Xenopus tropicalis: one gene and its partner. The main gene of each other region encodes a partner of the protein of the gene in region 2 in a complex. Links are inferred from orthologs where the notes say so. Each region holds a gene or a part of one and is shown on either strand. Other genes may lie near its edges.

The links.
Region 1: the proteins of kcnma1 (region 2) and kcnmb4 are in contact, whole or in part, in a cryo-EM structure (PDB 6V22), measured with the Homo sapiens proteins. The link is inferred for Xenopus tropicalis from reciprocal best matches to the Homo sapiens genes KCNMA1 and KCNMB4. Residues at the interface, in NP_001154824.1 of Homo sapiens: Phe98, Phe99, Leu102, Phe103, Leu106, Leu107, Arg109, Thr110, Tyr113, Leu114, Thr116, Val117, Asp238, Leu240, Trp241, Leu244, Pro327, Trp328, Asn330, Gln332, Leu367; in NP_055320.4 of Homo sapiens: Thr11, Glu12, Ala13, Glu14, Lys16, Ser17, Leu20, Leu24, Ile34, Phe35, Cys38, Trp39, His105, Thr164, His165, Val183, Leu186, Ile187, Leu190, Thr191, Ala194, Leu197, Ala198, Lys200, Ala201, Met204.

The regions. Positions count from the first base shown.
Region 1 is NC_030679.2:59,410,716-59,414,534, reverse strand, and holds part of kcnmb4 (calcium-activated potassium channel subunit beta-4), read right to left. Parts: intron 818-3,819; coding exon 690-817; intron 1-689. UniProt on the Homo sapiens protein: Regulatory subunit of the calcium activated potassium KCNMA1 (maxiK) channel. Modulates the calcium sensitivity and gating kinetics of KCNMA1, thereby contributing to KCNMA1 channel diversity.
Region 2 is NC_030683.2:53,920,584-53,925,114, reverse strand, and holds the start of kcnma1 (calcium-activated potassium channel subunit alpha-1), read right to left. Parts: upstream 2,888-4,531; 5' UTR 1,825-2,887; coding exon 1,546-1,824; intron 1-1,545. UniProt on the Homo sapiens protein: Potassium channel activated by both membrane depolarization or increase in cytosolic Ca(2+) that mediates export of K(+). It is also activated by the concentration of cytosolic Mg(2+).

The DNA of each region.
Region 1 (3,819 bases), on a different chromosome or scaffold from region 2:
CACAGCATGATAAATATACAAGTTAAACTGTGGTGGCCAGGGGGCCAGAAGAGCAGCGAAAGCCCTGTTGTTCAAAATCATGAAATTAGCAGTGTAAAACTGCTACTAAGAAAAAGAAGTTTTCAACAAAGTAAATTTAAAAACTTTGTTTTCAGAGGAACACTGAGCAATTTTACATTCAAATATTTTTTTTTAACTGAACTGTTCCTTTAAGATTATCAGGGAAAGAATCAAAACTGCCCCATTTGAAAATAAGAATAATCCTTTCTTATTAATCACTGAGGGTGCAAAAATTAAGTGACTATATTCACTTACCTGATACCCCGGGACAATGTTGCAGAACACTGCCTGGGGTTCAGGTGCAGTGACAAGCAGAACTTTAAAACCCTGCCCTTTCACTCTACTGCGCATATGTCTACTCTGGGATGTTGACGAAAGAAGAAGGTGGTTGCTATTAAAACCCCTGGTTAGCACAGTTTTCTGCTACCAGGAGCACTGGCCAGGGGATCAGGCAAGAGATTACAATCGTTGGGGGGCACCTAACTTTTTGCACCCACAGACAATTGTGACTTTCCTTACCCTTTAAATATATGTAATACCAACTGGAAATCTGTTCATACTAAATTTTTCAGACAACTTTCCATTGTCAACTTCCCACTGCCATTGTAGGTATAAAATGTTTCTTTTACCTTCTGTGCTTATTAAAATAGCAAGTAAAGGTTTGAAATCCAATTTCGTTATTCCAGTATTCTTGCCAGCTGAGAACGTTTTCAGAGTTCTTCTGGTTTTCTCTTTCGCAGGGCGGAATATAGGAACACTGTTGAGATGGATTTCAGAAAACATTTAATTAGTTCTATGCGCTACAATAGGTACATCAAGTTTCCCTTCCTTTAAAGAAATCATATTAATCACAACCTAGTACTGAATTCTTATAAACCACAAAGAGTTGGGACAATCTACACCGACATATCTGCTGCGCAGGTATTTTGTTTTTCAGACTGATTTAACAGATAGTATGCCAATTTAATCTGGTGCGGAAAGCCTAGTGACAATCCTTTCCCACAGAAGTAAATTTTTTCAAAAATCAATATGTTTGTGACAGCAGCAAGAGTAAGAGAGGGAGGAGAGGGATTGAGGATATGGAGGAAAAGCAAGTATACAGGGGAGAGAGCAGGCTGGAAGGATACAAGACCACAGCACAAGCAGGAAGGTGGGGCCCCTAACAAAGGCATAACACAGGGCCCTCCTACTAAGGTTCAACAGCATGCAACAGCTTAAGCATAGTGTGGGAAGGAGAGTTTACCTCTATATATTTTCCTGGTTTTCAAAATAGTAACTTGTGTATTATATTAGATAATAATATCTTTTACTAAGGCTAGATGACTATATATGGCCTTTTCTGCACCTCCTGATGAATAATATTAGAGGATATTTCTCCTCTATATGAAGAAAGCAAAGTGTGCCTTTATTACTGTCTCTTCAGTAACACTGTTACTATCTCTAGTATAATGACTATATGTGTGAATACAAAGGAATTTTGCCAAGGTTTACTATTATTTTACACTTAATCTAAGTGGTGCATTGCCAGAAGCTGCATTATTGGTGCTTTTGCACTACACAAAAAGCAAGAAAGGGGTCCTTGCTTCTAAACAAAATGTTTTCATATTAATCAGACCTAAGATCAAAATAACACCCCAGTGGGTAGGACCAGTCAGGGGAACATATATCAATAATACCAAAGGAAAAACAAAACAAAGTTTCTCAAACCTAATTAGAAAAATAGGCTTTTGGCAGAGAGCCTAGAATACTCAACACCTGCACTTAGATACAATAGTAACTAATAAGATAAACCGGTCTCTTGCAGCTTAATGGGCAATTTCACCAGCATTAGCAAAACTGTAATAATACATAAAACAAGACCCCCAAAATCCCCAGAAATGTGTTTAAACTTTACGAAACCTGCCAAATTGTGTAAAATGGGAGTGGTATTTAGGGGTGTGGTCAAAAAAATGGGCATGGTCAATTTCCGCGGGACTATGCACAGCATTTTCTTTTGTCCCACTTTGCATTTTTCAAATGTTGGGAGGTATGCTGTTGTGTAAAAGATTAGTGTTAACACATACACTGGTTAACACATACATTGGTAAATGGACCCCGATCTGTGTTTAATCTCAGTAGTACAAAATGTATTATAGCTCACAACACTATTTTGTACTGTTTACATTTTCTGTGAAATTATTTTACCTACTAACTATCCCCAAAAAAATGGATCAAATGTTGCAAAGCAGTTCAAAATATAAGCAAATGTGCAAAATGTGCAAAGGAGACATATAGTGAAAAGTGTACCCCCATACAAAGGCACTAGGCCAAATGCTTTTATACAGGTCATGGAACTCTGAGGTGACATAATATTCTTATATTTTTTCATAAGGGGTACATTATAATAGACACATTTTAGTGAGTCATATGACTCACTAAGCACCTATTATAACTGACAGCATCACTATGCACCATTTGTAAGGATATCATTTACAAGACTCTTGGCTCGTGTGTGTTATATATTAGGCACTTATATAAAGGCATCAAAATATCGAAACGTTGGCACCTAACACTGAAATTATCGCACATATTACTATAGGCAAAGTCAAAAAGAGTTATAATCTCCACTGACCAATGCAAATGAGTGTGTCCTTTAGATGTACTGAATAATGAGAAAGAAACTGGATCATATTTTCCATATATCACCAACACAATACCTCTGGACTATAAAAGCCCTTCCGAGCCTGTGCCTTGTATGCACACTTATTCATGGTACCTCTATAGATCAAAAGAAATATGAACAAAAGGCACATTCTGTATCATAAAATATCTAAAATATCCTCTGCTTTTGATACTCTTCTGCTTTTGATACTGTCGACCATTCTATCCTTATGCAAATTCTCTATTCTCTGGGGATCTGGGATCAGGCAGCATCCTGGTTCTCTTCCTATCTCTCTAACCGCTCCTTCTCTGTCGCTCTTACTAACAAATCCTCTACCCCGGTTCCGCTTAGTGTGGGGGTGCCTCAGGGCTCTGTGCTTGGTCCTTTGCTGTTCTCCCTGTATACTCTCTCTCTAGGAGACCTTATTTCTTCTTTTGGTCTTAAATATCAATTAAATGCAGATGACATCCAGATATATTTAGACACCCCTGCACTAACCGCTGATGTTCAAACCCAGATTGGTAACTGCCTCCTGGCTATCTCCTCCTGGATGAACCGACGCCAGCTCAAACTTAACCTAGCTAAAACAGAGCTCATGGTCTTCCCGCCCAAACCTGGCCCTCCTCCTTCTTTCACCATTACTATTGATGGCATGACCATCAACCCTGTAAATTCTGCACGCTGCCTTGGGGTTATCTTTGACCAGTCACTCTTCTTCTCTAACCATATTAATAACACTGCCAAAACCTGCCGCTTTTTCCTCCGCAATATTGCCAAGATACGCCCCTTTCTTTCACAAGCAACAGCTAAAACACTAATCTATGCCCTTATCCTTTCCCGCTTAGATTACTGCAATCTCCTACTAACCGGCCTCCCAGACTCGCACCTCTCTCCCCTGCAATCAATCTTAAACTCTGCTGCCAGGACCCTCCTGCTGTCTCCTAAGAGGGATCCTGTTCAGCCTCAATTAAGCTCACTAGCATGGCTGCCTGTCAAGCAAAGGATAGCTTACAAAATCCTTCTGCTGACATTCAAAGCCCTTCACTCCTCTGCTCCTAACTACATTTCTTCACTGGTCTCCCTACATGTTCCTGGTCGTCTCCTCCGCTCCTCTCAGA
Region 2 (4,531 bases):
ATCAGTTCCTTCCTGTAGCTAATTTTACTGGTTGAGAAAGAATTGGTCTATATACTATAATTCATTAATAAATGCTTAACTTATAAGATCATGTTTGTAAAAAAAAATGCTTACATGTTTACACATTCTATTGTGTATAACAAACCTCTGACCTCTTTTTATCTCCATTTAAGTGTTAAATCATTATATTCAAAATCTGTTTTTCACTTTGGAGGCTGGGTCATACTGACTATTGTCAGTATATGACCAAGCATATCTATATTTGGTAACAGAGTTTGGCTGATTATACTACCCAACCATTTGGGCATGTATGCCTGGCCAGGATAGGTTTTGACAGCCAAGGTGATCTCTCCACATTGCATCTGCCGATGCACTACGCACACGTTGACATGGCGCATCAGCAGATGAAGAAGCGAATAGGAGCCACAGCCTAACAGTGCATTACATTTAAATGTACCAGGCAGTCCTTTTGCTAAACATATTAGCCATCAGCCTGCAGTACACATAACTTACTATTCCAGCAAGGACCTAGAAATGGCAGCTCCACATAGTATCACATATTAAGGGCCTATAATTCTATGTGCAAAATGAACTGACGGAGGTCCCCTAATTAATTTTATACAGGCTAGATAAGTAGTGGATTCAAACATACACCTAAAACTGTTGGTGATATCCTGTTAAAAGACCTCCAGTGACATATAAAGTAAATCCTGTACTTCAAAATGGTTATCTCAGATTACCAGCACTTTAAAGCTCACAGGTAATGGAACTGTCTAGTAAAGGGTAAAAAAAATGACATTACATGGTATCATGGAGATTTATTTCAGGGAAATTGGCAGTTGTGATTTTTAATTTATATAAAGCGTTTGGTCAAATTTTTGTATTCTGTAAATACTGTTGATGTGATGTTTTGTCAACAACACTACTTTAAAAATCACAATTAGGTGTAGTGCAAATACAAATAAAATCACTACAGAGGTGTATATTTTTGTATACAATGCACATTTTAGGTGTATGCGAGTATATAGAAATATAATATATTTTAGGTAATTAAATTTTAAGTATATATATATATCTTTCATTGGACAATTGCACAATATGTAGTGGGCCACAATATTCAAATATTGCCTGTGGTGTTAAAAATCCTGGTAAATCCTTGGGTCAATGGACTGTCAACTCAAGGCCACTATGTGCATTTAATAAAATACCACCATTTATTAAAATAACAGCCTCTAGCTAAACTTCAGTATTTACAGTTCTTTCATGGACAGTGCAGCAGAAAAAAATGGTGATAGAAAACATCACCAGTCCTGCATACACAGTATGGCTTAATCAATAAGGATATACATATATGTTGATATGTTTGTGCTCTGACAAATTATGCTTGCTGAGTGCTGTCCTCTGTTAGAAATGATTCCTACATCTCTCCTCCTCCTCCCTACCATCACGACTACAAACACAGGCCAAATGGCCAGGCAAATTGAACAGAAGCCCCTTCAATAACAGACACACACGAATGACACAAGTTGAGATGCAGAACGTTACCTTGTTTTTGCCCCCACAGTGACAACATACAGTCCACAGGTATTTGAAGGTCCTCCACACTAGGATAATGAAAAGACCTCCGAAAAACGTCACCATAGAAGAGGCCAGGAATGCCCACCACATACGTGTCCCCTGGTTGTCACAAGGCACCTCCATAGTGACTGGAATAAATAAGGACTCCCCATTGGACGCCATCACGGGGTGAGATTTGGAGTGTGGGTTCTCAATGATGTTGCTCATGCTATTAAAGATGCTTTGAGACGCGTTCCAGGTTGCCATTGCTAACAGGAAGACTCAGGGTACCCTGAAAGCCGCTGATTTCTCAAGCCCCAAATTCTTACACCAGCCATACTGCAAAGGAGAGGGGGAAGGAAGCAGGTCAAACAGATTCTGGGGGTCCCTTTTTCGCTGCCCCCTCCCTCATAAACAATAATGTCCTTGCTTTTCTTCGCTGGAACTGGGCTGTATCTTCATTCCCAGAGCCACCAAGCCGGGCAATCCATATCCAATACTGTCACAGCACTGCCATACGTTCCCTTAATTGCAAACGCGAAACCCAGCTAGATAGTCCTTCATTTCTCCCTTCTGCTCGTCCCTGGAAGCTCGTTTGTTTGACCTAATTGTATAGGCAGTGTGAAGAAAAATAGACGAAATCCCTTTTACTGCCTGGCAGCTTTGGCTTTGCCTACAATGTGCCCTCCTGTGAGTAATAATGTTAGTGGCTGCGGTCAATTAAGCTAAGGGCTTCCCGGCACCTGTTTGCTGAATGCAGACGTGTGACTAGTCGATCCCCGTTCAGATTATGGAGCTGTTCCTTCCCCTCTATCTGTGCTGTGCCTATTCGCTGTCCTTGCAGCTCTTCCTATCAGATCGTGTTCAGGGAGAGCAATCGCTTGTCCATAGATTTCCTTCCTCCTGCACAATGCCACAGCTTTATTCGTCCAGCAAGACCCTGTGCTATGTTTGTCTCCTTTCCACGCTGCCTGCCAGCCTGCTGGTTAGTCTCCCCTCCCCTCCTTTCACTCGTTCTCCTTCGTCTGTTCAGGGCTATAATCCTCCCAGCTGATCGTTCCCTTCTCTCCTCCTCCTCCTCCTCCACCAGAGCTGTTGCCACTGTCACATCGCTGTGCTAGGCATCAATAGGCAGGACACTACGGGAAACCGAGGTGGGGGTGAAGGAGGCGCAAGGGGAACATTACAGGTAACAAGGAGGAGTCATTGCACACATATTGCTAGGAAGTACTTTAATGGAAAGCCTCCAGCCCGTCTGTTATTCTGCCCAAGGCTGTTGGATTGGCAGTGCGTTTCATTGACAGCTGAGGCGAGGGTGGGAAGGAAGAGAAGGAAAGGTGCATATGTAGAGGCTGCAAGGATGTTCTGCCTGTGTTCGTCTTCCAGGTTTTCCTAAGCATTATATGACGCAATGACATATGCAGAGGCTTTCATATTTATTCTAGGCTACTTGTATGCCAACAACCGCTTGTATGCGATTTATCCTCAGAACTGCTGCTTTTAAGCACTCCCTGTAACCAACAGCAAAGGAAAGGGGGCAGCATTGCTGGGCTTTTGCTGCTAGAGATGCCCAGTCTTTTTCTGGCTCTCCATCTGCTGTTGAACAGTTCCCAGGATAATCTCGTTCCCCAACACCTGGAGGATAGAAGCTTAGACATATGTGATTTACACCCCAAAAACTAATTAGGACCATAAGACATAAAATTCATTTTTGCAAACGCTGAACTGTATTTTAATTCCACCCATTTAATGCCCTGGATGCAAGTGCACCCTAACTAAGGGACTGAAAGTGTGAAAAACATGCTGCTGGTGCCTGGGTTTTGCTCCACTGTCAGTAAGGTATGGCACTGAAATGAAAAATTCTCATCCTTGAGTGGTGAGCACTACCAAATTCTGTGTTTTATTGTGCGCCCTGGTCTCAAAATTTGTGTGCACAGATTAGAGGGAACACTGACACCCACTTATATTAACTCTCTCCTCCTATACTTTTTAGTGTGTTTTACTTTTACTCATTCGTTTACTCATTCTGCTTATTTCTTTTTTCTCTGCACTATGCTTTTAAAACTTCCTTTCCTCTCTAGGTTTTTAAGGAGAATGCAAGTCAAAATTTAAAAAGCATACTGCCCAATAGTCCTCCTACTGTTTAGTAAAAACGCCACACTTTTGGCTGACCTAATCAAATATTTACTCAGTCACACTTCACATTTTCTAGAACAGGCAGCCATCTCTAAAAAGGTATTCTCCCTTCCTTTCCCTCCTTGCTTCATACTGCACATGTGTTTCATTCCCTCCCCCCCCCCTGCCAGATCCGCTTCTGATTGGCTGGTGGGCATGTGTAGCTCAGAACAGGAAGGCACAACAGAGACCGTTTCCGCACACCCTAGCTCTCCAAAATTGAACGCCCGGTGCACTCTGCTAGAGGCAGATTTTGGAAAAAATCAATGTAAAACAAGGTCAAGAAAAGAAGAAACTATTATCTCAGAGAGAATGTTATTGGATCTGGCTTTTACAATCTCGCCATCCAAAAGGGTTAAACGATGAATTTAACATGTCTTGTTTTTTATAGTTAACACTTTTTGCAGTTTTTGCTTTAGATAGATGTAATTTGTTTTTTCATTTGTGTCTTTTACAGATAATTTTTTTCCTGGGGGGACATCAGGGATAAATATTCCTTTTCGACGTGTTAGGGTAAGAGGTCCTGTATTTTTGAGCTGTGCTTATCCTATAAGGAAATAGCAATGTTTTTAACTAAGGTTCACTATGTAACATTTTAATCTGATAATTGTTACTTTATTTTTTAGTATCCCATGGGTCCTCTCCTGAGATACATTGTTGTTATTCAGTCATGGGACTGAATTTAGAACTGACAGAAAAAGAAAATGAGTGTTCACATGTTTGCACAGAAAAAATGTTTTTTTATTATTTTATATTTATATTGCACATGTGTTTTTCATACTTAAATGTATAATATGTA